Linked DNA regions of Alligator mississippiensis. The protein of the gene in region 2 interacts with the protein of the main gene of each other region in a pairwise test. Links are inferred from orthologs where the notes say so. Each region holds a gene or a part of one and is shown on either strand. Other genes may lie near its edges. The genes, in order: CRY1, PLSCR1, ESR2 and SLC35A2.

Region 1 (6,881 bases), on a different chromosome or scaffold from region 2:
GTGGGGGCCCACACTAATCACGTACGAGAGGATGAGAGAGGAGGCAACAGGGATTCTGGGTGAACCATTTGGGAATGTCTACCAGACACTTAAGGCAGGTGAAGAAACAGAAATCATTGGAAATAGAAAAGAAAGGCACAACTCAGTGTGGGAGTCAAGTAGAAGTTGACATGTATACAATGCAGTAGCTTATCATGAGTTGAAAGAGTCGGCACTGGGGGGGACTGCACCCAATGGGCACTACCACACATCTGATTTGGAGAAGTTGCACTAACCTATCCTTGCAGTAGATTCTATCAGTGTGTTTACCCAAAGTAGGCCATGTATTTTATAGTCATGCTCAGCATTGGCTGCATTTAATCAACTTTATATCTGGTTTACTGAGCATGTGCTGCTGTGAGCAGCAGTTTAATGATAGACGGTGTGTTTAATGCAGTTTCCTTGTAAGTGAGATTTCTCTAGTGGCTTTTCTCCCCATGCTGATTGGGGGAAAAAACTGTCTTATATTTGAGTAAATAAAATATATGAAACTCACTGTGGTAAACTAAAGTCTGTTCCGAATAAAAGCAGTCTCTTGATAGGAGGATATAGCTGTTACTTTAAGAAACTTAAATTTAAAAAATCCATAGTACAGAACTACAAAGCATATCACATGGATTATGAGCATTCAAGTTCAAACTGTTTCAAAGAAGGTGCTGCTCTGTATATAGAACAAGTTTGTTGGAAAGATGAAGGATTAGTAGAGTAGATAAGGTTCCTTAAAATAAAAAGAAATGTTGCTTCTTTTTCAACCTTCTCCCTTTTAGATCTCTTCAGTACACGCATAAACTGCCCCCCCCCCCCCGTTTTTTACGTCATCAAGGTTAATTTTGGTAGGTACATGTAAATATTACAACTTGAGAATCATTTATTATAACATTTGTCAAACAACCAAAGGACATTAGCATTAGTATTAAAAAGTCTACACTTTCTTTAGCCAAGTCCACTGAGTTAAACACTTGGTCCTGGGTCACTGGATTCTGGTGTGCTGACTTCCTAGAGACTAAAACTTGCCAAGCAGAAGTATGCCACAATCTGCTTTTTCTGGGTATTATGTATATCCAAAGGCTTAACAGTGTTTGTACTACCTCAGAGTTTAGGGTACGTACAGCACTGTGAAGCCTGACTTGCCCTCTGCTTCTAAATCTGCCCCAGTGGCCAACAGACAGGATGATTACAAGGCAAGGTACCATTGTCTTTTAAAAGTCTGGCAGCAACACATGTATTTCATTCAAAGAACCGAATCACTTATAAAGCCATAAGATTTGTAATTCAATTAGAAAGCACTTGCTCAAAAAATGCCTGTAAAGTGACTGAAGCTGATCTTGCTTAGATTAAGGGAAGTGTCCAAAAACAACTGGCTTTAGGTCTTACAGTTGTTAGTTTGGTGGTGTATTAACCATTAAAATGAAGGATCATGGGAAAGGTTTATTTTTCTACCATCAAGACTACAGACATGACCAGAGGGAGCAGAAGTTTACAACTTCCACATGTTTTTAAAAGTTAGCTTGTTAGCGAAAGATATCCTTGAAGACACTAAATCCAGAAGCCTCAAGTTCTTTCAACTGTGTCACACATTTGACTTTGGGTAGGTCCCTTCACCTCTATGCACTTCACTTCTGTCTTTTGTGAAGTGCAATAACGTTATTACCACATGTCTAATCCTGCAGAAGCTCATTTTTTTTAGTATTCAACTAACCCCATGCTTGGAGCCAATGCATGGACAGAGCTGCATGAACATCAATGCATCAAGTTCCCCTCCTCAGGAGGGCAACAGGAAAAAAAAAACAAGCCAACCTTTAGAGACAGCTATGGAAGTGCAGAGGTGGCTCTCAATCTTATTTTACTTTGTTGAAGACACAGAGGCAGAACAAATGTAAGTAACGCTTTGTACTGCCTCTCTCCCTCACTTGATCTTTGATCCGGCTGCCAGTCTCTGCTCCACCCGACTGAGCTCTGCCCCTTGCTGGGCTCAGGAAGTGCAGAGCTGAAAGTCCCCCTGCCAATACCAAACCCGGCCGCTGAGGGATCGCACCCGACCCGTCCACGCGCTCAGTCCGTGCAAAGATATCCCCATTTAGACTTGCGGCATCCCCGGCTCCGGCCCCGGCCCATGCGCGACCCCCCCGCCGCCGGGAGGCCGATGGCGGCTCCGGCCCCGAGGAGACCCCGGGCAGGCGCGGACCCGCTCCCGAGCAGCGATTGCTGCACATCTCAGCGCCCACAAGCCGCTTCTGCGGGCGGCCGGCGGGATTTCCCCTCCCCCCCCCACGTGGGTGGATCAGCAGCCGCCGGCCGAGGCAGGGGACGGGCAGGCTCCTGTGCTGTGGGCTGCTGTCACGGCCCGGGGGCTGCCATCCCCCCCTCCCCGCTTTTGGCACAGCGGGCCCTGCAGTGACTCACACACACACACACACACACGTACACGCACACACACATATGCGCGCGCAGTGGGGCGATGTCACCGCCGGTCCCCGGAGCCGCAGGCCGGGAAGGAAGCGTCGCGCGGGGCCCGAGGAGCAGCCATGGGTCAGGGTGCCCCCTCCCCGCCCGCACTCACCGCCACCGGTTGATGCCCACGTTGGAGGACCCCGCGAACCAGGGGTCGAGGATGTAAACGCAGCGCACGGTGTCGGCGCCCTGGATGCACTCACGCAGCGCCGGGTTGTCGTGCAGCCGCAGCCCCTTGCGGAACCAGTGCACCGCGTTCACCCCCATGGCAGGCCCGGGCAGGGATCCCCTCAGACGGGGCCGCGCCTCACGCCGGCAGCGGCAGGCGACAGGGGCCGCATCTCCTCGCAACAGCCCCCGCGCGGGGGTCGCTCGCGCAGAGCCCCGCCCCCTCTTTCAGCAGCACAACGGCCGGTCACGCGCAGGCGGCGGCTGGTGGTGTGCGCGGGACCCTGCAGCTCGCGCCGCTCGCCCTGTACCCGTGCGCCCGATCTGCGCCGGCGGCCAAGCCCCGTCCCCGCTTCCCCATTGGCTGCCGCCGCCCCACGTGACCCCCGGCCATCACGTTTCTCGAGTGTGTTTACTACCCGGAGTGTGGGGGGAGAAGCAAAGAGGAGGAGGGCAGGAGAAGAGGGCGGGCAGCTCGGCGTGGCGCCGAGGGCCGGTAGCCACTGAGACGCGAGCAATGTAGCGAGGCCGTGCCTCGACCGCCCCCGAGGCAAAGCTTCCTGGATGGAAAAAGGAGGGAACGGAGTGAAACAGGGAGGGGGGGGCTTTCGGGCTTGGCCCCGCCCCCTACCAGAAGCCCGGATGAGCACGGGGCTTCGAGGCGTCGGAGCTGCTGCTTGTGCCCATGCGCCAGAGCCGCGGCGCGCCGGCACTTGTGGTTGGTTGAGGGGGTGGAGCGAATGCCATGCGTATCGAAGGGGGGGGGCTTGCACGCATGCGCAGTCTCCCCCTCTTCTGCGGACGTGGCGGGGCGGGTGAGGCCCACGCAAGCGCTTACATAATTGCGCGGCAGGCCCCGCCCCTTTCTCAGCACAGCCCTGCGGCCGCGTGCGACTCCGCGTGCTCGCTCCCCCAATGTGCGGGGGAGAAAAGGTGTGCGGGGGCGTGGCGATGTAACCCGCGAGCTAGACTTCCCCGTCTGCCCCTGCCCCCTTTAATCCGGACCCGGTACATCTGGTGCCGGCTGACCCAGTTCCCGTGCCCTTCACGGGGAGGGCGGGACAGCCGGGAATAACGGGGGAGGGCTAGGGCCGGGTGCTGCTGTGTTCCCACAGCCGGCGCAGGGAGGCAGGAGCGAGTTGGGCTCCGTGGTTGTCAACGTTTTTTCGTTTGCAGAGCCCCTGAGAAACTATAAATGGGGGGCAGCCCCCTTTGGGACTCTGCTGCGGGTGTAGGGGACATAAGTAGATAATTACTGACGCACTTTTAAAAATAATAAGAAAAAGCATACCACGTTGTGAGCTCACCCTTTTGTCCTCGGTTCTAGTGAGATGGTTGAGCTGCTTGGCAAGAAAGCATGTGAAGGTTTGATAGGGGAGGTAGATGGGATCTCTTTCATTAGACTGACTCAATAGTTGCAGGGGGAGGGGAGTTCTTTGCCATCTTTTGGGCACAGACACCCTTCTTCAGGCTTCTGTAGATTTGGGAGACTCTGCTCTCTGTGCTCAGCAAAGGGGGTTTGTGCCCGAAAGTTTGTCAAGAACTTTCTTCCAAATAGTCTACAAAGGATGAAGGACTAGATCCACCACCAAGGAGGAATACTCTGCTCTGGTCCAGACCTGCAGAGAGCAGACCAGCAAAGCCAAGGCTGCATGAAACTCCAGCTATCTACAAGTATCAAGGACAATAAAAAGTCCTTTTTTAGATACGTGGGGAGCTGGAGGAAAAGCAAGGGAACATTGGACCCCTGTTGAACCAGATCAGACAACTGACAACCAGTGCCCAGGAAAAAGCAAACTTGCTAAATGGGTACTTTGCGTCAGTTTTTCACCAGTCCCATGGGACACCCCTGCCCACTGTGAGTCAGGGAAGCCCGGGTGAGGGAGATTCGTTGCCCTCCATCAATGCTGACCTCATGAAGGAACACCTTGAGAGGCCGGACACCTTCACATCAGCTGGCCCTGACAATCTACACCCCAGGATACTCAAGGAGCTGGCGAGTGTCATAGCCCAGCCCCTGGCACGGATCTTCTAGAACTCCTGGCACTCTGGTGAAGTGCCTGAAGATTTGAAGAAGGCCAATGTGCTGCCTATCTTTAAGAAAGGGAGGAAAGTGGATCTGGCAAACTATAGGCCCATCAGCCTGACCTCTACCCTGGGAAAGGTCTTGGAAAAGATTATCAAAGAGGCCATCCTTAACAGACTGGCTGACGGCAACATGATGGCTCAAGGATCTGTCCTAGGGCCTATACTATTTAACGTCTTCATCAATAATGTAGACATTGGTGTCAGAAGTGGACTGGCCAAGTTCGCTGAAGACACCAAACTCTGGGGTAAGGCATCCACACCTGAGGACAGGAGGGTGATCCAAGCAGATCTTGACAGGCTCATGAAAAAGGCAGACAAGAACCTGATGGTGTTCAACACCAAAAAATGCAAGGTTCTCCACCCGGGGGAGGAAAAACCTGCAGCATGCTTATAGGCTCGGCAGTGCTACGCTGGTTAGTGTTACAGATTAAATGGATTTGGGGGTCATCATTGACCACAAGATGAACATGAGCCTTCAGTGTGATGCTGCAGCTAGTAAAGTGAGCAAAATGCTGGCTTGCATCCATAGATGCTTCTCAAGCAAATCCCAGGACATCGTTCTCCCCTTGTTCTTGGCCTTGGTGAGGCCGCAGCAGGAGGACTGTGTCTAGTTTTGGGCTCCACAATTCAAACAGGATGTGGAGAAGCTTGAGAGAGTGCAGAGGAGAGCCACGCGCACAACCAGAAGTCAGGAGAACAGACCTTATGATGAGAGGCTGAGAGCCACAGGGCTCTTCAGGCTGGAAAAGCACAGGCTCAGGGGCAATCTGGTGGCTACCTGTAAGTTTATCATGGGTGCTCATCAGGATCTGGGGAAACGTCTGTTCACCAGAGCGCCAAGGGATGACAAGATGAAATGGTCACAAACTCTGCCGCAAACGATTCAGGCTGGACATAAAGAACTTCTTTACTGTCTGAGTCCCCAAGGTTTGGAATAGACTGCCACCAGAGACAATTCAAGCACCCACTTTGAATGCCTTCAAGACATATTCGGATGCTTATCTTCCTGGGATTCTTTGACCATAGCTGACTTCCTGTCCCTGGGGTAGGGGGCTGGATTCAATGATCCTCTGGAGTCCCTTCCAGCCCAAATGTCTATGAAATCTAAAATATCACACCTACCCAAAGAACCTAATCTGCCTGTGTCCTTAGACCAGGTGTAGGCAATGTTTTTTGGTTGGAGTGCCCAAAAAACCAACAATGCCTACCTTGGAAGGTGCTAGAGTGCCAGCATGACAGAAAAACAAAACAAGGGCAGGGGGTATATGGCAGGATGCCTTGCTCATGCCCCTTGCCTCCCACCTAAACCCCCTGCCCCCCAGCCCTGCTGCCCCTTGCCCCCCACCCAAAGCCCCTGCACCACAGCCCGGGCTCAGTGGCTAGCAGCAGCTACCCAGAACCTGGGCCAGCTGCAAACATCCACTGCCTCTCAGCTCTGGCCCCAGCTGCCTCCCGGCCTCGGGCTCTGGGGAGGCAGCAGATACCCGCGGTGCTCCCCGCTGTGCTGCCCTCCTCGCTGCTTCTGCAGAGCAGCATGTGAAACCCGGCGCGGCAGGACACAGCGGGGTGCACAGCTACCTGCTGCTCTGAACTCCCCACTGCCCTGGTCACACTTCCCCTGCAGGCGGGGGCAGCAGCAAGGGGCACAACCCTGCGTGGTGTCCACGCCGTTCCCATACACACAGGGGAAGTGTGACCCGGGCAGCGCGGAGCTTGCAGCAGCAGGCAACTTCTTTGCGCGGCCCCTCTGTGCGCTGCCGCTCTGGGTCGCTCACGCTGTGCTCCCAGCCCTGCTGCCCTCCCCTGGGCCCTCCGGAGCGCAGCGTGTGCGACCCGGAGTGGCAGCGCAGAGAGGGGCCGCGCAGGGAAGCTGCCTACTGCTGCAAGCTCCACGCTGCCCAGGGCACACTTCGCCTGCGTGCACAGGAGCAGCCTTGCTGCTGCCCCCGCCTGCAGGGAAAGCATGGCCAGGGCAACGGGGAGTCTGGAGTGGCAGGCAGCTTCCTGAGCCCCCGCTGTTCCCTGCCGCGCCGGGCTCCAACGCTGCTCTGCACAAGCAGCGAAGAGGACAGTACAGCGGGGAAGCATCGCCGGTATCTGCTGCCTCCCCAGAGCCCGGAGGCAGCTGGGGCCGA
Region 2 (7,450 bases):
AGGAGCAGTGTTAAACCATGCCCATATAACACTTGTCCAGTGGAGTTTAGAAGAACCCAGCATAGAGGTTCCAGGTGGAGTAGGAAGGGGAAAAACTGAAGTAAAACTCCACCAATTGAAGTATCATGTCCATTTCTATCCGGGGGAAGATGCATTCAGTGCAAAACTACTAACAGCTCCCTTTACACCCCATGGCAATGCAATAATGCCTACAGCAGCAGCTACTCCAAAAAAGCTTGTCATCTGTCCACTCTGGACACTGATGTAAACTTGCCCTATTTTTTGTTTTGCAGGTGTAATGTCCAGGTGCCAGGTTCCTAATAAAAACAGCATCAGATAATCCTGCTGTGTTGGGAGAATACTGCCACTTAACTCCCAATTTAAGTGGAGCAGGGTAGGGGTTAAGTTAAAGAGAAAAGGTGTGCACCAAGCACTGAGTCACTAAACCCATTTATTCACAGGACACTACCAAGGAAGGAAGAGGCTTGTAGCCTCTCTGTGTTGCCACCACTCCTTACTGTGCTCTCTCTTGCTCAAAATGCAGTTCCCAGATAGACATAGCAAGAAGTGCTACTGGGGAAGCTGGAGTCACAGGGCTTGAGCCACTGAGCTGTTTGCAGCCCACTACCCAAGTATAAACTGAGTGTAGAAGCGCTACCACTCAGTTATCTTTTTAAATATGCTCGCTTTGCACAGATGCAACTATGCAATGTGCAAGACAGAGATTCAGGCTCAGCTGAGTGCTGTGCCATGAGATTCCCACTAGACTTGATGACAGCAAGCACCTAATGAATAATGAGATGAAAGAAAAATAGCAAATATTGCAATTTCATCTAATCCCAGCAGAATTTGCAGTTAACTACATTCTCACTCCCTTCAGTAATATAGTCATACTTTTATCACTCTAGTTTCACAATAGAGGAAGCATGACCGTTTCACCTTGAAAAGGTAAATGCTATCTGAGAAAATGTAACAGTTAGGGGCTTTTTTTCGCAACTCTCATCCAAAAATGATATCCAAAACCAAAAGTCATACAAACTGGGATGAAACTGAATCCAGGCAAAATGAGGAAGTGATACTGGTGAAGAAGTAATCTGAGGAATTTGGGTACTACTTGATGAATGGTCCCTGCCTGCTGAACATACTGTTGGTACACAGCTTCAAAGTCCTTTTGAACATCTTGTTTCCTTTGCATATCCAAAAAAACCAAAATTGGGCAAAATGCGAACTTCCAAATAAGGTTGGCTGGAGGACTCTCCCATTTTATCAGAGATCTGACCATGGTTTTTAATGCGTTTGTGACCTTCAGGCTCACTTCCTGCAAATCAAACTGGGAACAAAGCACCCTTACCTTGAAAATAACAATGATGATACAAGATCATAGTCCAAATTAAGGTTTCTATCATAATATTCAAATCCTACCAAGAAGGCCAGCCTATGGTACTTACAGAGATCACCTCTCCTTTATATCCACAGCCAGCAACAACAGCTATGTGCTTATGGGGCTTTATCAAGTCTGCATATCAAGGAATCCTGCTTTTGTCTATGCGACGCACACAAAATCATCGAAAGCCAGGGTTAGAAGGGACATCAGGAAGTCATCTAGCCCAACCCCTTGCTCAAAGCAGGACCACCCCCAACTAGATCATCTAGGCCAAGGCTTTCTCTACCCAGGTCTTAAAAACCTCCAAGGACAGAGATTCTACCTCTTCTCTAAGCAGCCGGTTCCAGTGCTTCACCACCCTCTAGTTGTATTTCATCCTACCACTTTATCCAGGGGCATATGAACCTAATAAGGAACAGGTGGATTCATTATACATGGCTACCAAGCTTCTCTGTAGTCAGTCTCATGGCAAGGAAGTTTGGCACCCGGGGCAAAGCCCGCAGCAGCAGCCTGCCCACACCCCATGCACCGATCTGGGGGGCACATGCCCCCCATGCTTGCCCAGGAGCCCCTGCAGCTATGGGAGCCGCCCTCCCCTGTGCCCTGCCGAACTAGCTGCTTGTGGCTCCATCCTGTGCCTCTGCCGGGTAGTGCCTGTTGGCGCCCCTTCACGCTACAGCACTGCCTATAGTCAAGTTAACTTAAATCAGTTATAGCTACTGTCTGCATTTCAGCAATAGGCCAGGAAAAATAGCAGATTAAATATTTTAACATGGATGCCAGAGGGATGAGACACCAGTAACCTAAAATGTGACCCCTCTTCCTTCCCGTAATACAGATCAAAGGGTCCTGGTCAGCCAGAGGGGAGAAGAGTTTAGATTTGGTGTTTGAGTCACGCTGTCCAGTAAAGACAACCATTAGCATCCAGTTTTCTGCCACTGGCCAAGTCGGGCCACAAGCTTGTTGATACGATAACAGGAGAGAGATGACAGACAGCGCCTCAGGCTCTGCCTCCCAGTCCTTATTAAATAGCCAGAACTGTTGCTAAGACGCGCCCTCGGGCCTAGCACGCACCCCCGCGGCAGACACCGCCCCGCCCCGCCCGGACGCACCTGCGCGGCGGGCTGTGCGGGGAGCCCCTCAGGCAGAGCGGCCGGGGACCAGCTCGGGCCGGGGCCGGGGCCGGGCTGCCCGCACTTCAGCAACGAGGAAGTAACGGCGCCGCTCCCTGCCGGAAAGGGGGCGGACAGCCTGTTTGGAAAGGCTGCAGGTGCGGCTTTCGCTTTGCCTCAAGGGGCCGCGAGCAGGGGCTGGGCGGACGCCTGCCCTCGCCCCGGACCCGCACCGCCCCGCCAGCCCCGGGGCCGCGCTTCCCGCCCCGCGCACCCCCTTGCCTTCGCCTCGCCTCGCCTCGCCTCGCCGCACCGCTCCCTCGCGCTGCCTGGGATGGGGCAGGAGCCGCGGCCGCCTCGGGGAGGGAAGAAGCCCGGAGGGCGAGGGCAGGGGAGGAGGCTGGGCGGGGCGCGGAGAGGCGCTGGCCCGGGCCCCCGCGGCCGCCGAGGGAGCAGGGCGGCGCCTGGCCTGCAGGCGGGTCCGTGCGGGTGCCCCGTCGGGGCCGCCTTGCTCCCAGCACCGGGGCCCGTCGTCCTGGGCGGGCGCCGCTGCTTGCAGCCCGTGCGGCGACGGGCAGCGTCTCGCTGCTCCTGCGCCCCGCAACCGCGCGCGGCCTTTCGCCGGCTTGCTAGGCAGCGCCTTCAGCACAGTCCGTCTGCAGGGATCGCTGCCACCTCCTTTTCACTCCCAGAGAACTCCCCAAAGCTCCCCTGCGTGTGTGATGGAGGCAGCGAAGTAAGTGCTGCAGGGAATCGGTATCAAGCATCTTCACTGCGGTTTTGTCCAGCATCCATTAAAGCTGGAATTAAACAAACAAACAAACAAACAAAAAGTGAGGTTCCATGAAAAAATGACAAGGAAATTATATTGCAGGGATTTCTCTCTGTTTGCCTTGAATTCAGGTTGATGTTACCTGGTCCTGCAAAACATGCCTAACCCTCTATGAATTTAAAGATCCCTGGCCTCCATAGAGAAAGTCAAAAAGACCAAGGCTAAATTGATGCAGTCTTCACAGGTTAATCTAAAGCTGCATAGGTTGAGCCAATAAAAAAAGTGAACAGACACCAGCTTTTGATTCCTGAAGTGCAACTGCAGCCCTGCATGGTTCAGACCAGAAACAGCAGGTAGAGGGAGGGGCAGAGCATGCCTTCCTGCTCTGCTGGAGCACACCGCTTGGGCCAAGGCTAGTGGGCTTGCAGGGAAGGTGCAAAGCATCCTGGGGGGGGCTGTGAATTAATAGGAATTGCCACCTGATCAGTTGCACTAAACCTAGTAGTTTTGTTTTTAAGCTACTAACTAGTTAAATTGGTTTAAAAGTGTAATCTGCATATATTTTCACTGAATCAGTAGAAACTGAATCAGTGATCTTTCATTACTATTTAATACAGAAAACATGCTCCCCACCTTTTCCCCCAAAGAACGCAGGTACCATTTCAACAGATTTCTGTGCATATTTACATTTTATCACTGTGTTTAAAGCTTATGGATTATAACTCATTCATGCCTTTACAATCATGGTATAAAAGCAACCTATTATTTATTTTACATTTTCAGTAACTCCCAACTTTTTTATTTTCAGTTTTGACTTTACTTTGGAATTCCAAGGTACTGATTTGTCTAATTTAACATGGTAAGCCGCTAGACATTTTAGGCTTTCAAAATCAGAGAATTTTCTATCATTGATGGAAATTTTCCATCAATTTTCCATTCTTTGCATTACAGTAATAACATTAGCTAATCACGTCAGTTTGCAGTCCAGTAAAGGCAGTGGGTATGCAGTATTTGCAAAGTTTTACCTGTACTGATATGTTATGTTCTAACCATGAAATGTGCTTTTTCCTCAGGGAATAATTTATAATTTTCCATTAATGAACACTGCTCTGTAGTCCTGTATTCTATTAAAAGGACATATTTGTTATTGGTTCATGTTCTCAACTACTTCTACCACATATGAATAGAACTTTCAGGAAGACTTTTCTTTCTACTTTCTTTGCTATTTCTATTTTCTCAAGTCTTTTCCTTGTGAAACGATGCCTCTTGGATTTCTACTGAGCACCAGATCTACTGAGCACCCAATTTGTATTTCACTGATTCTACCAGCATGTACAGATCTAATTAAGATTAAATCATGTATCCTGTATCAGTCAGTCTCTCACCAGCTCATTGTATTACATACACAATAGGGGCTTTTCATGAAAAAGTCACAGCAATCCAAATGTATGTATTTGAGAATTAAGTCAGTCTACTATGCATCAACCAGTTCATATTATTCTTTACTGTAAGTATCAAAGGAAACATTTTTTCAAGGATATTGTACATTTCAAGTTTTTCCATAGTCTTTACAAAAATCACCTTGATTTTCTTCCTTTTGCCACCTGCTGGCAGAGCCCCCCTGCAGCGTCTTGCAGCCCTGTCTGCCTGAGACCGAGCACCACCTGTGCCACATAGCACAGGCCTGCCTTGGCTTGACCCGGGGGCATGCACCTTTGGGCAGGACTGGGCAGCTCTTTCTGTCACTAGAGTCTCGATACTGCACACCAGGCTCCCTGCCTTCATGGAGCCGGCCTGGCCTGATACGAGGAACCGCTTGCAGGATGTGATGGGCTAGGAGGAGGCGTAGAGGTAGCAGGGATGAGAGAGAGGGTTGGGGGTAGGGGAGGGCTTTGGGTCAGAGAGGTAGCTAGAGCTGGGCTTAGAGCCCCGCTTTTTGCCTAGAGCAGCCTGTACAGGGGGAGGCCAGCCTGAAAGGAAAGGAGCTTGCTCAGCCCAGTCCCTGAGCCCTAGTCAAGGGCTTCCCAGGAAAGGCATGGGGAAGCGCTGGGGCCTGGGCACAGACAGGGAGCAGAGCAGCAAGGGCTGGTACTGCTCACAGCCACAAAGCAGTGGATGGAACAACTGCAGCTGGACGCATGTCCTGGTGCTGGGAGGGAGCTAGTGGGGGCAGGCAGGACACTGGGATATCAGTGCTTCTCAGCACCCCACATCCTGGTGACCAAAGTGGAAAGGGGCGGCTCTGATTTTTCTATGATGAAAAAAAGAAAGGAAATGCTAAAGTGTATAGGATATTTAGAACTTGTTTATTATGACGATAGAGGCACTGCTAGGCTTCCAAATTGCTTTAAAATTGTAAATATATCAGTAAAGCATTGCCCAACTCTACATATAGTGCTGTTTCATTTTAAATCACAAAATAACAGAGATTTGGGGTATTTTAATGAGAAAATTTGGGTTCATCAGAGAATTTGGAATTTTTAAATGGGGAACACCAGGATCTTTACTGGTGAGACAAGTGGCAAGATGTAGACAGAGGAGCCTGGGGAGGGGAGCTGGGCAGGGAACAGGTTTCCCAGCTCCCACCAGGAGGGAGGTCCCAGTGCCAGCTCTGCGACTGTGGGACTCATCCTGGGAGATCCTTATCACCCAGGCTGAGCTCCTAGGTCTAGGGGCTTGGACCATGGAGCCAGCGCTGGGAGATAAGTGTCTCCCAACTCAAGGCCCTCCACCACAGAGCTCAGGCTGGGAGATAAGGATCTCCCAGTCCTTGGTTCCCTATCGGAGATATCTGAGCAGGGGGTTTGGAGTTCCCTGCTGCCAGAGCAGGGGGGACATAGTCCCCGCCCAGGCTCCTGTGGCAGAGTCTACCCCTGCAGCAGGCAGCTCCTAGGGGCAGGGAATTATTTTCTACCTCCTGGTGGATGGGTGACCGGGAGTAGATTTTGTTCCCAGTCAGGCACCTACATGAGCACTATTTGCGCCATTACTAATCGTGAGTAAATTTGCTACTTGTATTTGCAGATAGCAAAATTTACTTGGGATTAGGGAGGTTTACTGTGAAATAAGCATGTTCATGTTTACAAAAACTACAAATCATATTGTACAGGATATACTTAATGTAAAAAATTTAGAGGACTATAACTTCATTGTTATGTAGAGAACAAGAAGGACAAGCATAATTAGTGTGGAATCAGAAAAAAAAATAAATGCCTTAAACTTTGATTATTTGAGTTATAAGATGACATAACTGCTTTGTAGAGAATTGCTGGCTCTGTACAGTAGAACAGATAAGGGAAAGTGTTTGTTCTTTGTAACTCCTCTGCAACTGCTTCACTCACCACAGCCTTGAAGATAGCAAAAAGTATGTACAACTCTGATTTCCAGGTGCAAGAAGGAGGTTTGTGAACTAACCTCGCCTCCCCCATAAGTTCCTATCTTGATTACAGCAATGAAGTAATGTTTATAGCTGCTTTTTTTTTTTTTATAAGCCTCCTGATTTTGCTTTTGGGGGGCGGACTTCTTCTAAGTGCTTGGGAAATCTATGTCACTTTGGAATCCCCTCTACAGCTGTAGTTTTTTTTTAAATAAAAGCTTTTGTTAACCTGATTCAAAAGTATTCTGCGTGTGTTTTCACAACAATTCCTGGTGCCGTGACTCGGATCCAGAACACGTGCTGAAGAAGGAGGACCACGGACTGCCCCCCTCCAAACCCTGAGGCGCCAAACTTAAGAGGTAAGAGACCTAATTCAAAATCTCTTTTGGGGTTTCAGAGGAGAACTGCCTGTAGGCTCCCAACTTAGCCGTGGTAACTAGATCTAAACCTTGTTAAAAACAGGTCAGTCTAAACCTTACTGCCGGCTAAAATTTTCTGTCTGGTAAAGAATCCAATTTTCTGTCTGGTAACGTATGTTTTATTCAGGGAAAAACTTTGAAGCACCTTCATCCAACAGCACATTGGGCTTGTAGTTAATTAACTAAGGCGGTGTGGGGGAGGAGGTCTGGCTGACTAAATGAATGCGTGTGTGTGTGTATTTAAAAATATAAGCCACTGACCAGGTCTAAAACTACGGTTGGGTTCAGCAGCCCCAATTCTGCCTAACGGCAGTTTTAAAAGCAAGGGGGCCCAACTGAAACCTCATGACCCAGTGGACAGGGCTTCAGAGTAATTTTGTCTTTTTC
Region 3 (7,250 bases), on a different chromosome or scaffold from region 2:
CTGGACACCAGCCAGAAGCCGAGTGCATGCAGGAGGGTGCACTGGTGTTTAGCCTCTGAGTGGGGGGCGGGTCTGTGAGCAGAGGCTTCTGCATCCCTCCGGTGGCTGGGCTGTGTCAGCTGGCTGGCGTGGAGGAGCAGGGACTGAAGGTGAACCTAGCCCGGGGGGTAAACAGCCCCCGTGCTCAAGCAGTGCCGCTGAGTGGCTCCTTCCAGGTTCCCTCTAGTACAGTGGTTCCCAAACGTTTTCTTAGGGTTACTATATTTTCAGATCTAAAAAAGAGGACACCTGTTGCATGGTGGGGGTGGGGGGAGGCAGGCAGGGATACAGCAGTGCCCTGCCTCTGCCTATTTTGTTGCCCTTTGCTTCCAAGCCACCCTCCCCCAGTCCTGTGCTGTCCCTCACTCCTGACCCACATACCCCAGCTCTGCCAGTGCCCCTCACTCCCAAACCACACGGTACTCTGCCCGCTGGTTCCCCTCACTCCTGACCCACAGTCCCCTGCTCCCCCCCAGCCCTGCCAGAGGGGCCCCAGCTGCCCCTGTCCTGACCAGGCCAGAGCGTGGTGGCTCAGAGCAAATCCAGCCCCAGTGCAGGCTGTACGGCAGAGAAAGGGAGTCCTGTGACAGCCTCCACCCCGGGCTGGGGCTGCCACGCTGAGCCAGGAGGCCCAGCGACAGCATACAGCCCACCTCCCGCTCCCCTTCCCCCCACAGCGTCTTCAGGCCGTTTTGCCCCTGCAAACATAGGCACCAGCACCTGTGCTGCCAGCCTGGCTATGGCCCTCAAAAGGCACCCCCCCATCCCCTTCCCCCTCTGCTGGAGGCAGGCAAACCCCCCCCCGACCCTCCTACCCTGCCCCAGCCCCCAACCCAGACTTATTTGTCTGCAGCTCCCTGCCTAAAGTCATCCCTCCCCTTGCTCCCACCAGCGGACCAAAGCAAAAACCCAGACATTTGCTCAGATTTGAAAAACCTGCCTGGACAGAGATGGGAGGACTCAAAAAGAGGACATGTCTGGGAAAACTCAGACATAGTAATCCTATTTTTCTTATCGCATACCCCCTCCCAGATTTACCAGCTGCCCACATATCCTTACCAGAATACTTTAACCCCTTAAATGCCAATTATTATTATAATAAAAATTAAACTCACCATTACACAATTTCTCCTGCGTGCCCCCCAGAGATGATTTGTGTACCCTCAGGGGTACCCATACCACAGTTTGGGAACCCCTGCTCTAGTATAAACCTACCCAATGCCCTGGCCAAGCAGCTTGAAAAATGTTCTCCTGGCCTCCTTGAGGAATTTAAATGCGAGTTGCCCCAGTCAGCCATATCCACGCTGTGGCCTCCTGTTCCCACACCCAGGCTGTGCCCTCCTGATCCCGTACCCATGCTGTGGCCTCCTGATCCCACACCCAGGCCGTGCCCTTCTGATCCTGTACCCATGCTATGGCCTCCTGATCCCGTACCCACGCTGTGGCCTCCTGATCCCGTACCCACGCTGTGGCCTCCTGATCCCGTACCCAGGCTGTGCCCTCCTGATCCCAAAGGCTCTGCTACTTCCAAGTCCGGAGGAAATGCACCAAGAGTGGGGATGCTGTGTCTCAACATGGGACTGCTTGACAATATGAAGCTCTGTGGTGTGAAAGCAAATCGGTGCCCTTTCTTCTCCTGTTCCCCTGAGGTTGGGAACGTGGTAAGTAGAGCCTGACTTCCAAAAGTGACAGTCTGTGGCCAGTGAGCAAAAAGCCTCTCACAGGTAGTTGGAATTTGACTCTTCAGCTTCGCAGGTGCATTGGTTTGTGAGTGAGCCAAGGGCTTGTTCAGAGCGAATGAACAAGACCAGTGGCCCAGGCACCCAGCCCTTCCTGGATCAAGAAAGAAGTCTGCACTTGCAGGAGGAGAGATGGGTCCAGCCTGTGCAGACAACACTGGGTGGCAGCATGAGCCAGGCTGGGCGGTGGAGAGCTGCTGTTGCATTGGACACAGGCACCTGTCTCCTGCATGCTGTGGAGGAGTTGGGTGAGGGGAATCAATTCATACTGTTTACAGATGCACAGTCATGACTCATATCTTAGAGAGGCCAACCTGCCCTCGTCTACCTCCGAAAGCCGGCAGGGAATCCTTCTCAGAAATCCGGGGTGACGTGAGGCGCTCTCCCTCAGGAAGCTGGGGTAGCAGTAGTTCTTAACTTCTTATTCATTTTCTCTGGCAAACCCACTGCTGGTTTGAGCCTAACATATTTAACTCATTTTCCTTCTTTTTTTTGTGGGGCTTGTGATCCCACTTCATTGCTGCAAACATGCAGTTTGGGGTAGGGTCTTGCAGGTGTCTTTTAACAGTGAGGAGTAGTGTCGACACTCCCCAAAGCAGGAGGAGGTGCGGTGCTTCGACCCCCTAACAGGCCTGAAATACATTTTGGAGAATCTGAAAGATTGGTACAGGAAAAACACATTTGGAGCATTAACCGAGTGGTGATACAAGTCCCTTGGTTTGGCCCTTTCCACTCCTGCAGTTAAATCATTGTCAACAGGTGCATTCATCATCAGTGCTGACAACAGATGTCGAGACTACTTGGCATATTTTTCCAATTTTACCAGCAGGCTTTAATGGTATGGAGAGAAAACTTGGTCTAAAACATAGAACTAAGTAATATGCTTTGAATGTACAGACATATCAGTTAGGCTCCAATGCTGATCTTGACTGAGCCAGGACACACAAACATGCAATGGGACAGGAATTGGAAAATTGAATTTGGAGAATCTGCAACTTACTGCACAATACTCTGCAGAAGCAATTTGGTTTTCGTGCCCACTCTTTAGGTTTTCCAGTACTGTCACTTTAATATATAGCATAAGCAAAAAAACCCCCAAACCTGTGCTTAATCTAAAAAGTCTTTTAGCTTCTAGTGTGTCATGGTCCCAAATCCACCTGAAGTCTATGCAGGGTTCAACTAAAAAACAAAAACCCTGAGGTACTAATAAGTTGCCATCGCCATGTGAAACCTGGGGAGGAAGGACAGGGATTTGGCAGGTCAGAGTAATCTCTGCAGGAAAGGGCTTATAAAACTTCTTGAACCTTTCCCGTACCCCCACATCCCCAACAAACAGCATCCTAAAGGCAATGCTTCTTCCACAGATTGCATTTCCCTGTGCCATCATGGGCTAATGGAGTTTAGTTCCACTCTTAATTAAAGGACATGTGAGCTGTGATGGACTTTTCTAGTTGGATTGCTTTACTTTTTGTAGTAAAGTGAATAGAATTAGTGATGATGAGCAAAGACCAAAGCAGCTTTGTGATGGCCTGAGCATCATTTATTCCAAGGTTCAGATTTGTAAAGGTATTTAGGTTCCTGAAAATGCAGATAGGTGGCTTGTAGGATTTTTGAAATCTTTTCAGTAAGCTGTGTGGACACTTATTGTTTTGGATGGGAGTTAGGCATGTAACTTGTTCAGGAATCTGAAAAATTCCACTTGGTACCTATAGACTACACGCTATCTGTAGGTGGCTAAGTACCTTTGAAACTTGTCCCCAAGGGCTGCTTTATATCACTTTGCTTAGAAGATTTTTTTACGGACAGAAGTGTGGTTGTAGTGCATAACTGAGATTTGCACTGTGATTAGTGTTTTTCAAAATGCTTTAAAAAATAAGAGCTAGTGAGTTCGTGGAGCAATTGAGTCACCTATTACACGGTGTCCAGTTAATTTCTTTCTCGATTTGAAAAGACATGCTGTTAAACATTGCTAATATGAATGCACGTTCAAGATTAGAGAATATTGCAGGATATGCTTTTAATGAAGCTTGTAAATAGATGACCACAAGTGTTTGAAGTGATTAAAAGTTCAAGTTCAAACCAGACTGGTTATATTGAGATTCTCCATTCACACTTTATGGGGGGAGAAAAGTTAATTTAGCTTTTAAAACCTCATCCACTGTTGCTGGTTAATTGATTATTTGAATGACTTTGGTCTGACTGAGTGTTAAACGTGTTACGTGCAAAATAGTAATGGGAATCATTGTGGTACGCTGCAAGAGTGAAATAAACCCAGGGAATATCTTTAGCTAGAAAAAGCCAACATTGTGTACAGGCGCCCTATGACAATACTTGGCTTATAAAACTACTTCAGTTCTGTAGGAGCTCTAATTGCAGGGAACAACAAGCTTATGAATTTGTTGTCAGAAGGAAAGGGGAGGAACTTAGATTTAGGTCTTGCCTCCACTGGGAAAGGAAACATTGAGAGTGTCTGTGTAATCTTGTACTGATGAGCTGGCATTGCGCTGCTTTATCAAGATCAGTATTTCAGATCCTCTGCCCTGTGGTGTGAGTGATGGTGATTTTAGAATGGCTGCGAAACAGAAGAAAGGGAAACTAATCCAGAAATGATGGGTGAAATGCTAGCTGGCATTTAATGCTGTGAGATAAACCCGAAGAGCAGAAAACTATTCGATATCAATCAGGTATGTGGTGAATTGGGTTACATATATTTGTTAAATGTTGTAAAAACTGATAGCCACTAGGTATATCAACAGTAAAATACTTCTGTGCTGTGATCTCATTTAATTTATGGTTTAAGAGGCTTATCCTTTTACAAATTATGGTTTCTAAAGTATGATCAATGTGTGTTGGCTTGTGCAGATAAAAATAATCCCTAAACAGGTTTATCCCTCCAAAAATTCTTTGGTTTCTCGTACCATTTCCAGGACTCTGGACTATAGAATCTTGATTCTTTTTCTTAAGATGTTTTTAACAAAAGTTTATTAACATGGCACTGCTGGAGTGAAGCAGAGGTGAATATTTGCATGCAAATTCTAGGAAAACAAATGACTTGAGAGTTTCTTTACGATAACGCATTGTAAAAGCCATTTGCTAATGTGGAAGGGTCTGATCCAATGGATTAAACAGGAATCTTTGACATAAGTGGCTTTTGGATTGGACCCTTCCTGCACTGTGGTGCGTTGAAGCTCCAAAAGATGTTAGGAGCCTCCTTTTTCAATCTTTGTTCTTTCAGCTACTCTATTTGCCTAAGTGATTTCCCATTTCTGTTGTTCAGTGGCTAAGATTTCACTGCCAGGTGTCTGCTTCATTTTTTAAAATATAATTAAATGTCTTTGATATTGGAAAAAGCTTTCCCAAGTAGACAAGAGAGGGCAAGCCTTGTTTGTTAAGGGTCCTTTAAAAAATTCTAAGGTCCTGGTGTTATAACTGGAAATATAATGCTAAAATTAAGATAATACATTTATTCTGAATTAATATTAATATGCAACTGTATGAAGCCATCATTGGTAAGCAGAGATCTTCATAGAAATTAATTAGGTAATCTGCCTAAAAAAACAGTGGAATCATCTAATCTTATTATTAGACCCATTTAATAAGACTTAAAGTTTGGAAAAAATAAAATGCATATAGAATTGCAGTCGAGTCTGATACAGACATCGCTGTTTCATAAAACTAATAACATAAAACCCCTGAAAACAGCACATAAAGAATATAGCTGTTCATCTAAGTAAAAAAAGTTTTGGTAGGATTGACAGCACCCAGAGAAGCAATCTTTGTAATATTAAGCGATACAGCCTCAGAATCTGAATTGCTGGGTATAAGTAGCAATCTTATTTCTTTTCACACCCCTGAAATTATTTTTGCAACCACAGATATCTCTTGGAGGAAAAAGAATAATGTGGGAGGATAGTATCTTTTAACTGGTATCTTTTACATTTCCGATTCCCAGCACACAATGGTCAGTAACTACTTTTCAGGTTTTAACAAAAGTTCCTGTGAACTGTATCTAGTTAATGTTATTTATATACACTAACTTAGCAAAGATAGATGGTCTATTCAGTCTCTTTCCAATCATACACAAAATGTCTATGTAAGATTGAAACCGGATTTTCCCCGTTCTTTTCAGAGTAAGGAACAGAGCTAGCATTGGCATACTTAGCATAACAAAATTACATGCGCCCAGACAATAATAGATTCCTTCCTTATAGATTTTTTCCAAAGGGAAAGGAGGAGCAGGGGGGAGGGAATAGCAAAAAGGAAAGAGGAGAAGAGGTAGTGATAGCAGTAAAAAATGCTACCCAGTGTGGGATTTGAAGCTGATCTTGAAATTCAGAGAAGTTAGAGAAGATACGTTTAAAATATTATGCTTCTGTTAGATCCTTTGATTTCCCAATATTTTCATACTTTTAAAGCTGAAGTGAAGAAATAGTTGAAGTCTTCAACAGAATAACCCTAAGGCATTTCGGTTGTTTGGGTGGCAGGATTTCCAGATGCAAATATCAGCCCTTATAGGTGTATTTAGGTGACAATGAGTGGATGAAGTATAAAAATATGAAACTATTGGAAAGCTATTTTTGCTTCAGGCTTCTTTAAGAGAAACAATATGCACACACACATGCAACAGCTTAAATTTTGGTTTCTTTGGTTAATGCAGTTTTTAATGCTGGTTCTTGAATGCCCTTCTCTTCCCCACTCAAACACATATGAGTAAAATGGACAGCTAAGAGAAAGGGATAATGATTTCAGAGGAAGAAGGTGATATGAAAACTCATTTTCCCACACTCATCTTCCTCCATACACTTTCATGCCTGTGAGCAGCTTGCTTCTGCTATCAGGAGGAAGTATCCAGAGAAGGGTGTGCCAATCTAGTCCCCAAGGAAAGAAAAATATCAGGGCCAAAAAAGAAGACAGTTCCCAGAATAACTCATTGACTCAATCTGTTGAGACAGTGGCTACGTCCAGACATGCAGGCATGTGTGGTTTGTAGCATTGCAAACCTCTTTGTGGCACCACAAACCACACGCCCAGACCATTAAGACGTGCCCTGCGCTGCAAATCTGCAGCATGGCGGCAAAATTTGCTACCACGTTTTCCTGGTAGCAAAAAAACCACTAAAGGAAAAAAAGCAACAAACAGAGGCTTGGTCCTCCAGGGAGACACTCTGGCTGTTGGCCAGAGCATCTCTGCTATTTTGTTTGTGCTCCAGCATGGCGGGAGCAGGGAAAGGCAGTTTGTCTGAAGCAGGACAATTGTCCCTCACCAAAGCACATGTGCAGGGGTGTGAGCTGTGGCACCAAGTAGCGGCACAAATGTGTGCTGCTGCTATTTGTACCCTTGGAAGCACATGCCCCTGCACATCTAGATGCGGCCAGTGAGTTTTAATATTATACCTTTTGGTTTTGTATTTTAGCAAACCAGAAGTAATATATAGGGAAGAAATGGGGAACTCCTAGTCCCATGAGTCAACAG
Region 4 (6,835 bases), on a different chromosome or scaffold from region 2:
ATATGTCTGAGTTTTCCCTGAACACATCCTCTTTTTGGGTCCTCCCATTTCCATCCTAGCAGGTTTTTAAAATATCAACAAATGTCTGGAATTTTTGTTCTGCCTCTGCTTTCCTGGTACTTCCTGGATTGCCCCAGCAAGGAGTTGCTTGGGGCTCGGGGAAGGGGGCACAGGATGATTGGAGGCAGGGGCATCACATGCTCTGCATGCAACCCCAGCAACTGCAGGCAGGTAAGTCTGTGTGTGTATGCATGTGCGCACACGTGTGCCCCTGCTGTTGCTGTGGCTGCAGCAGGGCGGGGAAGGGGGTGGGACGTTCTTCAGGGACAGCAAGGCACTGCATGGGCAACAGGGCTGAGGCAGGGCAGGGGACTGCAGGTTGGGAGTGCGGGACATCAGTATGGTCTGGGGGGCAGTGAACTATGGGTCAGGAGTGAGAGGCAGCAGTAGGGCTAGGGAGGCTGTGACTTGGGAGTGAGGGACAGGGGTAGGGCACAGCTATATCACAGCCCCCCCATCATACACCCCCCCTGCTCCCCACATAGGTGTCCTTTTTGAAACCGGAAATATGGTAACCCTACCACTGCTCCTGTCTGAACCCTATCCACCTGGCCCAGCTAAGCCACTCTTCCCCCTGGAACAAGGCCCAGCCCTCCCACCCTCCTTCTTTCCCCAAGCCTGACCAGAAGACCAGGCCCTGCCCCTCCCTCCCCAAGCCCCACCCCAGGCCCTGTCTTCTCCCCTCAAACCCCTTGCCCAGGCTGGGCCCTGCCCTTCTAGCCCAAAGCCCACCCCCTCCCTTTCCTGAGTCCCACCTCCCAGGCCAGGCCCCACACCCTCCAACCCATAGCTCTGCCCCCCCAGCTAAGCCCCATTCCCCACAGGAATCTCACCACGGTGCTGCAGTAATAGCAGTAGGAGGCAGGTGCCACCCTTGAGCAGCTCGGCTAGGACTACAGCGGTGGTGGGCAGGAAGCGTGGCCCTGGCTGTGTCCGTGCATAACGGATGCTCAGGATCAGCGATGCATTCTGGAGAACCAGCACAGCCAGGCTGGCCTGACGCACTCGCCGCCGGCCTGGGAGGGAAGACGGGGATGGGAGGGTGGGGTTAGAGCAGGATCGGGACCCCCAGCTGACTTAACATATCTGCTGCTGGCCTGGTGGGAGAGATAGGAGGCACTCTAGCAGGATCTGAACCCCACAGAGCCCCCCAGTATGACCAGATTAGCCTGATGCACCTGCTGGTACTCTGTGGGGAGAGATACAGGGGGGTTAGAACAGGATTGGGACCCTCACAGAGCACCACCCCCATGGACTACCCCCACCATAGCCAGGCTGGCTTGAGACCAGAGATGGGGGATTAGAGTAGGATTGGGACCTCCATGGAGCCCCCCAGCACCAAGCCAGCCTAATGCTGCCTCCACCTTGAGAAAGGGGATGAGGTAGGGGGTAAGAGTATGACAAGGACCCCCCAGCTCTGAGTTGAGCAGCTGAGTATAACATGGCCTGGCTAAGATAGCATGCAGCTGGGATGGGGTGCCTGGGGATCAGCTACATATAACACTATCTGGAGAGGTCTGAGATGTGCCCAGCTCTGAGGCACAGCAGCCGAGGAAGGGTCAGTAAAAAGGACACAGATGCACCTAGCTCTAGAGTTGGAGAGCTGGGGAATGGCTACGCCAAGCCCTAAGGTGGGATGGCCAGGAAACAGACAAATATATATAACACTCCATAGGGGAAGGTTGAAATATGCGCAGCTCCAGGGTAGGACAGCTGGCGAACGGGCAAATATAATAGTACCCAGGGAGGGCCAAGATGCACCCAGCTCTAAGCACCTAAGGAAGAGCTGAGTATAAGGGGCCCAGATGCAGCCAGCTCTGGGGTGGGGTGGCTGGGGAACAGCTGAGTATAACAGCGCCTGGTGAGGGCCCAGATGCAGTCAGCTCTGGCTGCAGCCACCAGTAGGATATGCCCCTGCTGGATGCACAAATGCTCCAGCTCCAGCGCTGCCCAGCTGAGCAAACATCCTGCTCCCGCCCCTCCAGGCTGGGGGCTGCCAATGGTGGTGTGGTTGGACCAATGAACCACATTCCACCTCTGGGATCAGGCCCAGTTGCACCTGCTGGGGGAGGGGACAGAAGAAGTGTGGATATGGGCAAGATGTGCCCAGCTCTGTGGTGGAATGGCTAAGTGCAACAAGACAGGGAGAGGGCTGGGATGCGGCCAGCTCGGAGTGAGGGTGAAGGGACAGATAAGCAGAACAGTATGCGGCGGATTTTGGGACGGGACAAGGGTTAAACTGCAGGCCTGAGATGCAGCCAGTTCTGAGGAAGGCAGCCGAGTAGGACCCGCATGCCTAAAACAAAATGCAGCCAACTCTGGGGTGCGGCAGGGGAGAGCAGCAGAGCACGATGCCACTCGGAGAGGCCCGAGATGCGCCCAGGTCTGGGGCAGAGGCGCTGGGGAAACAGACGAGTATAACGAGGCAGGGAGCGGACCGAGATGCGGGGGCAAGGCACCCCCAAACGTTACACTCGGCCGCTCCCCCTCCAAACTAGCAATTCTCGACCCTTCCCCCCGGGGCGTCAAACTCGCCCAGAGCGAGCGGGTGCATTTCGGCCCCGCCGCCGGGCCTGCCACGCCCCCGCCCTTCGGTTCCCTCGGCTCACCCCCCGCGGCCGCCGGGTCCCTTCCAGTTTCCGCGACAGCCGCAGCTCCAGCCCCCGCCGCGGTCGCCGCTGCCATGGTGGCACTTGCCCGGGCCCCAAGCGCCAGCGTTGCCACCACTTCCGCATCCTGCGCTTCCGCTTCCTGCGGGAAACAGGCGACAAGCGAGAAGGAGCAGCGACCCCGGCTAGAGAGGAGGCATAGTTTCGGGCGGAGGGCTAGAGCGGAGTCTGGTGTGGAGGACTGGGGCTCTCACCCTAGAGTCTGGAACAGGAGTAGAGTGGGGCCTCACAGCTGTGACCAGAAAATTGGGGGGTCTAGAGCGCAGCCTGGTGTGGATGACTGGCGCTCACACTAGAGTGGAAGAGAGTAGAATGGAGCCTCGCGGGGGAACGGGTCGAGTGGAACCTGACTTGGAGGACCGTGGCTATGATCATAGAGTTGGGGCGGCGACTGAAACAGGGTCTGGCGTGGGGGACCGCGGCTGTGACCATATCGTGTACGTGTGGGCAGGCGGGTTGGTAGGGGTGTGACTGAGGTAGAGCAGCGCCTGTGAGCATGGGGAACAGTAGAGTGGAGCCCCGCAGCTGTGACCATAGGGTGAGAGTCATGCTGCTTGGAGAACCGCAACTGTGACCATAAAGTTGGGGCTGGCTAGAACAGAACCTGGCATGGAGGATCATAGTTTTCACCGTAGAGGGCAGGGCTGAGTACAGTCCTGCTTGTAGGACCTTGGCTGTGACCATAGAGCAGAGAACAGGCTGGGCAAAGGGGAGTAGGCACAGAACTGTGCCTCTCACCGTAGGGTGGATGGATTATAGGGATTCCTGGGAGACCACATCCATTATCATGAATAGCAGCAAGGCCTGGGTTAGAGGACCACCCCCACCCTGTCACCTGAGAGGAGTGAACTAGGGGGCATCTTGCTGGGAGGACTGAAGGTGTGACCATAGAGTTGAAAACTGATAATTTGAAGTCCTCTTGTGACCTGCCACCACAGAGTAGGACATCTCAGCTCAAGTGGCCCACCCTTGGAACGTAAGTGAATAGGAGCTGCCTAGAGAGGAGCCCTCCTGGAGAATTGTGACTACCACCAGATAGATGATTCAGCTACAGTAGTACAGTGGAACCAGAGTATGTGGGTGGGCTGGCTAGAGGAGCCCTGCTGGAGGACTGTGACTGTCACCAGCATTGGGGAGCAGGAGGTAGTACCTGGAAAAATACATAGCAGCACTGGGGGCCTAGACACCTAGGTTCTCTAAGGAGTAGGGGTCAGGGTGGAGCTTAGAGTAGGGAGAGGGCTCTGAGCCCAGATAGTTGTGGTGGGAGGAAGGCTGAACCGGACACCTAGGTTCTCCAGGTAGACTGGGGGCTGAGGCAGGGGCAGAGCAGGTGAGGCTGGAAGCCAAAACACCTGGGTCCCTCTGCACCAATAGACGGAAATGCCACCCCCCTTGTGACTAGTCATGGGGGAATCCCTCTCAGCACCCACAGGATTAACAGGGTCCCCAGGCCACAGCCCTTATAAAGCCTTGTGAGGCAGCTCCCACATGGAACTTAGGCCCTTCCCTCTCAGCCCCACTTCCAGCCTCTAGGGGGTAGGCACTGTAGGGGGCCATATTCCCCACCCCCAGCACAATACAGCCACCTCTAGAGTGAAAGAGGCCAGCACAACACAACCTTGCCCCAGATGAAGCCAGCTATGGGGTAGGGCATCTTCCCCCTTTATCCCCTCCCCAATTCACAGGGGGGATCCCCTCCCCCCATCCACCCATGACACAGCAGAGGCCAGGCCAGACACGGTGGGTTTCTCTTTCCTTTGTGGCGCTCATGGGGGGTGGGGGTGGGGGGGGGTCTTTGTTTCTCTTTATCCAGGATAATTCTCTTCCCAACATGCAGCGACAGCTCCAGTCTCTGGGGGAGAGGGAAGGGAGCAGGGGGAGAAGAAGGGGTGCAGGTGGCAGTGGAAGGGGGGAGGGGGCAGTCTAGGGGCATCAGCTCTTGTCAGCAGGGCTGTCTCTGTGCAGGGTGCTCTTCTTGATGGTCTCCAGGTACTCCTGCTGTGACACGGCCAGCACTGATGCCAGGATCTCATCGTCTTCCCAATCATGAAGGCCTGAAGGGTGGAGAAGATGGGGGATGGTACACAGCTGAGTAGAATGGCTCCCAGGATAGGCTAAGAGATGGCCAGCTTTGGGGTGGAGTGGCTGGGAAAAGAGTTAGGTAGAACAAGGGAAAAAACTGAGGCTGAGATGTGGCCAGCTTTGGGGAGGACTGCCTGGGAATAGCTGAGTATCACAGGTTACAGGGAAGGCACAGATACAGCCAGCTCTGAGGTAGGGCTGCTGGGGAACAGCTGAGTGTAATAAGACCAAGATGCAGCCAGGTCTGGGGTGAAACATTTTGAAATGGCTGGGTATAACAAGGCACAATAGAGGCCAGGATATGACCAGGTCTGGGGTGGGGAGCCTGAAAACACCTAAGTATAATAGCCTACAGGTAAGGCCATGTTGCAGCCAGGTCTGGGGTGCAGCAGGTAGGAAATGGCCAAGTATAACACCCCACAGAGAAGATAGAGATGCAGCTGGCCCTGGGACGGGATGGCTGAGAATGTAACAAGACTTAGATGCTGAGATTCAGTCTGGTCTGGGGTGGAACAATTGGAGAACAGCCAAGAGGCCAAGATGCACCCAGTTCTGGGGAGGAGTAGCTGGAGAATGGATCAATATAGCCCTCTGCTCTCCTGTGGGGGTGGGGGAAATAATGTGCCCAGCTCTGGGGTAGACTGGCTGGAGAACAGCTGAGTTTAGCAAGGCAAATGAGAGGTGAAATGCACCCAGCTGTGGGGAGGAGCAGTTGGATCAGCTGACTATAGCTCCCTACAGGGAAGGCAGAGATGTGGCCAGCTCTGTGGTAAGGCAGCTGGGGACCAGCTGAATATAACACAGCAAAACTAAGGCCGAGATGCAACCAGCTTCAGGGAGAGGCAGCTTGAAACAGCAGAGTATGACCCCTCCCCAGGGGAAGGCTGGGATGCACCTAGCTTTGGGAAGGAACAGCTGAGTATAACTAACACAACAGGCTGAGATGCAGCTGGCTCTGGGGTGAAACAGCTTTGAATGGCCAAGTATATAATGCTCCACAGAGAAGGCCGAGATGTGCCCAGCTCTGGGGTGGAACAGCTGGAGAAAAGCAGAATCTAACAGGGCATCAGTGAGGCTGAGATACAGCCTATTCTGGGGAATAATGCCCAGTATAACCCCAATCTGGCAGAGCCGAGATGTGCCCAGCTCTGCAGCAGGGAACAGAGCCCTTTCTCCCACCCCCATCAGTCCTAGATGCTCTGAAGCCTTGCCCCCAGCTCCAAATCCCTTCCTTTCTCCCCCCTAGAGTCACTCACCGAAGGCAGTGGGGGACATCTGCTGCATGATGGCACGGCACTCCAGTGCAGGGTACAGGGATACCAGCGGGGGGGTAGTGCGGCCCCCTGCAGCTGCCAGCTGACTGCTGGTACCTGGGGGGGGGGGAAGCTGAGCAGTAGGCCCCTGTCCCCATTGCCCCCAGGAACCCTGAGCTACCCCAGTGAGCTAAAACACTCCCACAGTCCCAGTAGCCTCTATCCCCGCCCCGACTTATTGCCTCACATTCATCACCCCAGCAGCTCATAGCCCCACCCCACCCCATTACCCCAGCAGCTCACAGCCTGCCCCCATTCCCCCAGAACCCACACCCCAGCCCCCACACCCCATAGCTCTGCCTCTCATTCCTCCAGGACCTATATCCCTGCCACCACCCTATGTCCTAGGACCACCTGCATTCCCCCAGCAGGACATAGCACCACCCCATCTTCCCAGTAGTGCACAGACCTGCTCCCATAAGCCTTGCCTTCATTGCTCCAGAAGATCATAGCTCTGCCCCCAAGGACTCATAGCTCCACACCACTCAATTCTCCAGTGCCACCCGCATCTCCCCAGCAAACCATAGCCCAGCCTCTATGACCTATAGCCCTGCCCCATTCCCCAGCAGCCTGGAGCTCGACCCTTATCCCAGTTCTACCTGCCAACAGCTCCTGCCCCCTCCTCACTCTCAGACCCCCAGCAACCTATCACCTTGCTGCCAGGACCCACAGCCCCTCCCTCACAACATATAACCCCTGTCCCCATCTCCC

The links.
Region 1: the proteins of PLSCR1 (region 2) and CRY1 interact in a two-hybrid assay, tested with the Homo sapiens proteins (2 studies listed by BioGRID and IntAct). The link is inferred for Alligator mississippiensis from reciprocal best matches to the Homo sapiens genes PLSCR1 and CRY1.
Region 3: the proteins of PLSCR1 (region 2) and ESR2 interact in binary tests that used the Homo sapiens proteins (3 or more experiments, as listed by UniProt). The link is inferred for Alligator mississippiensis from reciprocal best matches to the Homo sapiens genes PLSCR1 and ESR2.
Region 4: the proteins of PLSCR1 (region 2) and SLC35A2 interact in a two-hybrid assay, tested with the Homo sapiens proteins (2 studies listed by BioGRID and IntAct). The two-hybrid records come from large-scale screens. The link is inferred for Alligator mississippiensis from reciprocal best matches to the Homo sapiens genes PLSCR1 and SLC35A2.

Annotation. Positions count from the first base shown.
Region 1 is NC_081827.1:104,109,577-104,116,457, forward strand, and holds the start of CRY1 (cryptochrome-1), read right to left. Parts: upstream 3,002-6,881; 5' UTR 2,758-3,001; coding exon 2,600-2,757; intron 1-2,599.
Region 2 is NC_081830.1:59,169,716-59,177,165, forward strand, and holds the start of PLSCR1 (phospholipid scramblase 1), read right to left. Parts: upstream 3,017-7,450; 5' UTR 2,779-3,016; intron 2,618-2,778; exon of another isoform or gene 2,497-2,617; intron 1-2,496. UniProt on the Homo sapiens protein: Catalyzes calcium-induced ATP-independent rapid bidirectional and non-specific movement of phospholipids (lipid scrambling or lipid flip-flop) between the inner and outer leaflet of the plasma membrane resulting in collapse of the phospholipid asymmetry which leads to phosphatidylserine externalization on the cell surface.
Region 3 is NC_081825.1:291,561,977-291,569,226, forward strand, and holds the start of ESR2 (estrogen receptor beta), read left to right. Parts: upstream 1-4,239; 5' UTR 4,240-4,462; intron 4,463-7,250.
Region 4 is NC_081831.1:28,440,835-28,447,669, forward strand, and holds the start of SLC35A2 (UDP-galactose translocator), read right to left. Parts: upstream 3,015-6,835; 5' UTR 2,924-3,014; intron 2,812-2,923; 5' UTR 2,746-2,811; coding exon 2,670-2,745; intron 1,077-2,669; coding exon 894-1,076; intron 1-893. Other genes in the region: OTUD5 (OTU domain-containing protein 5), read right to left, coding at 4,662-4,783, 6,068-6,181. UniProt on the Homo sapiens protein: Transports uridine diphosphate galactose (UDP-galactose) from the cytosol into the Golgi apparatus, functioning as an antiporter that exchanges UDP-galactose for UMP.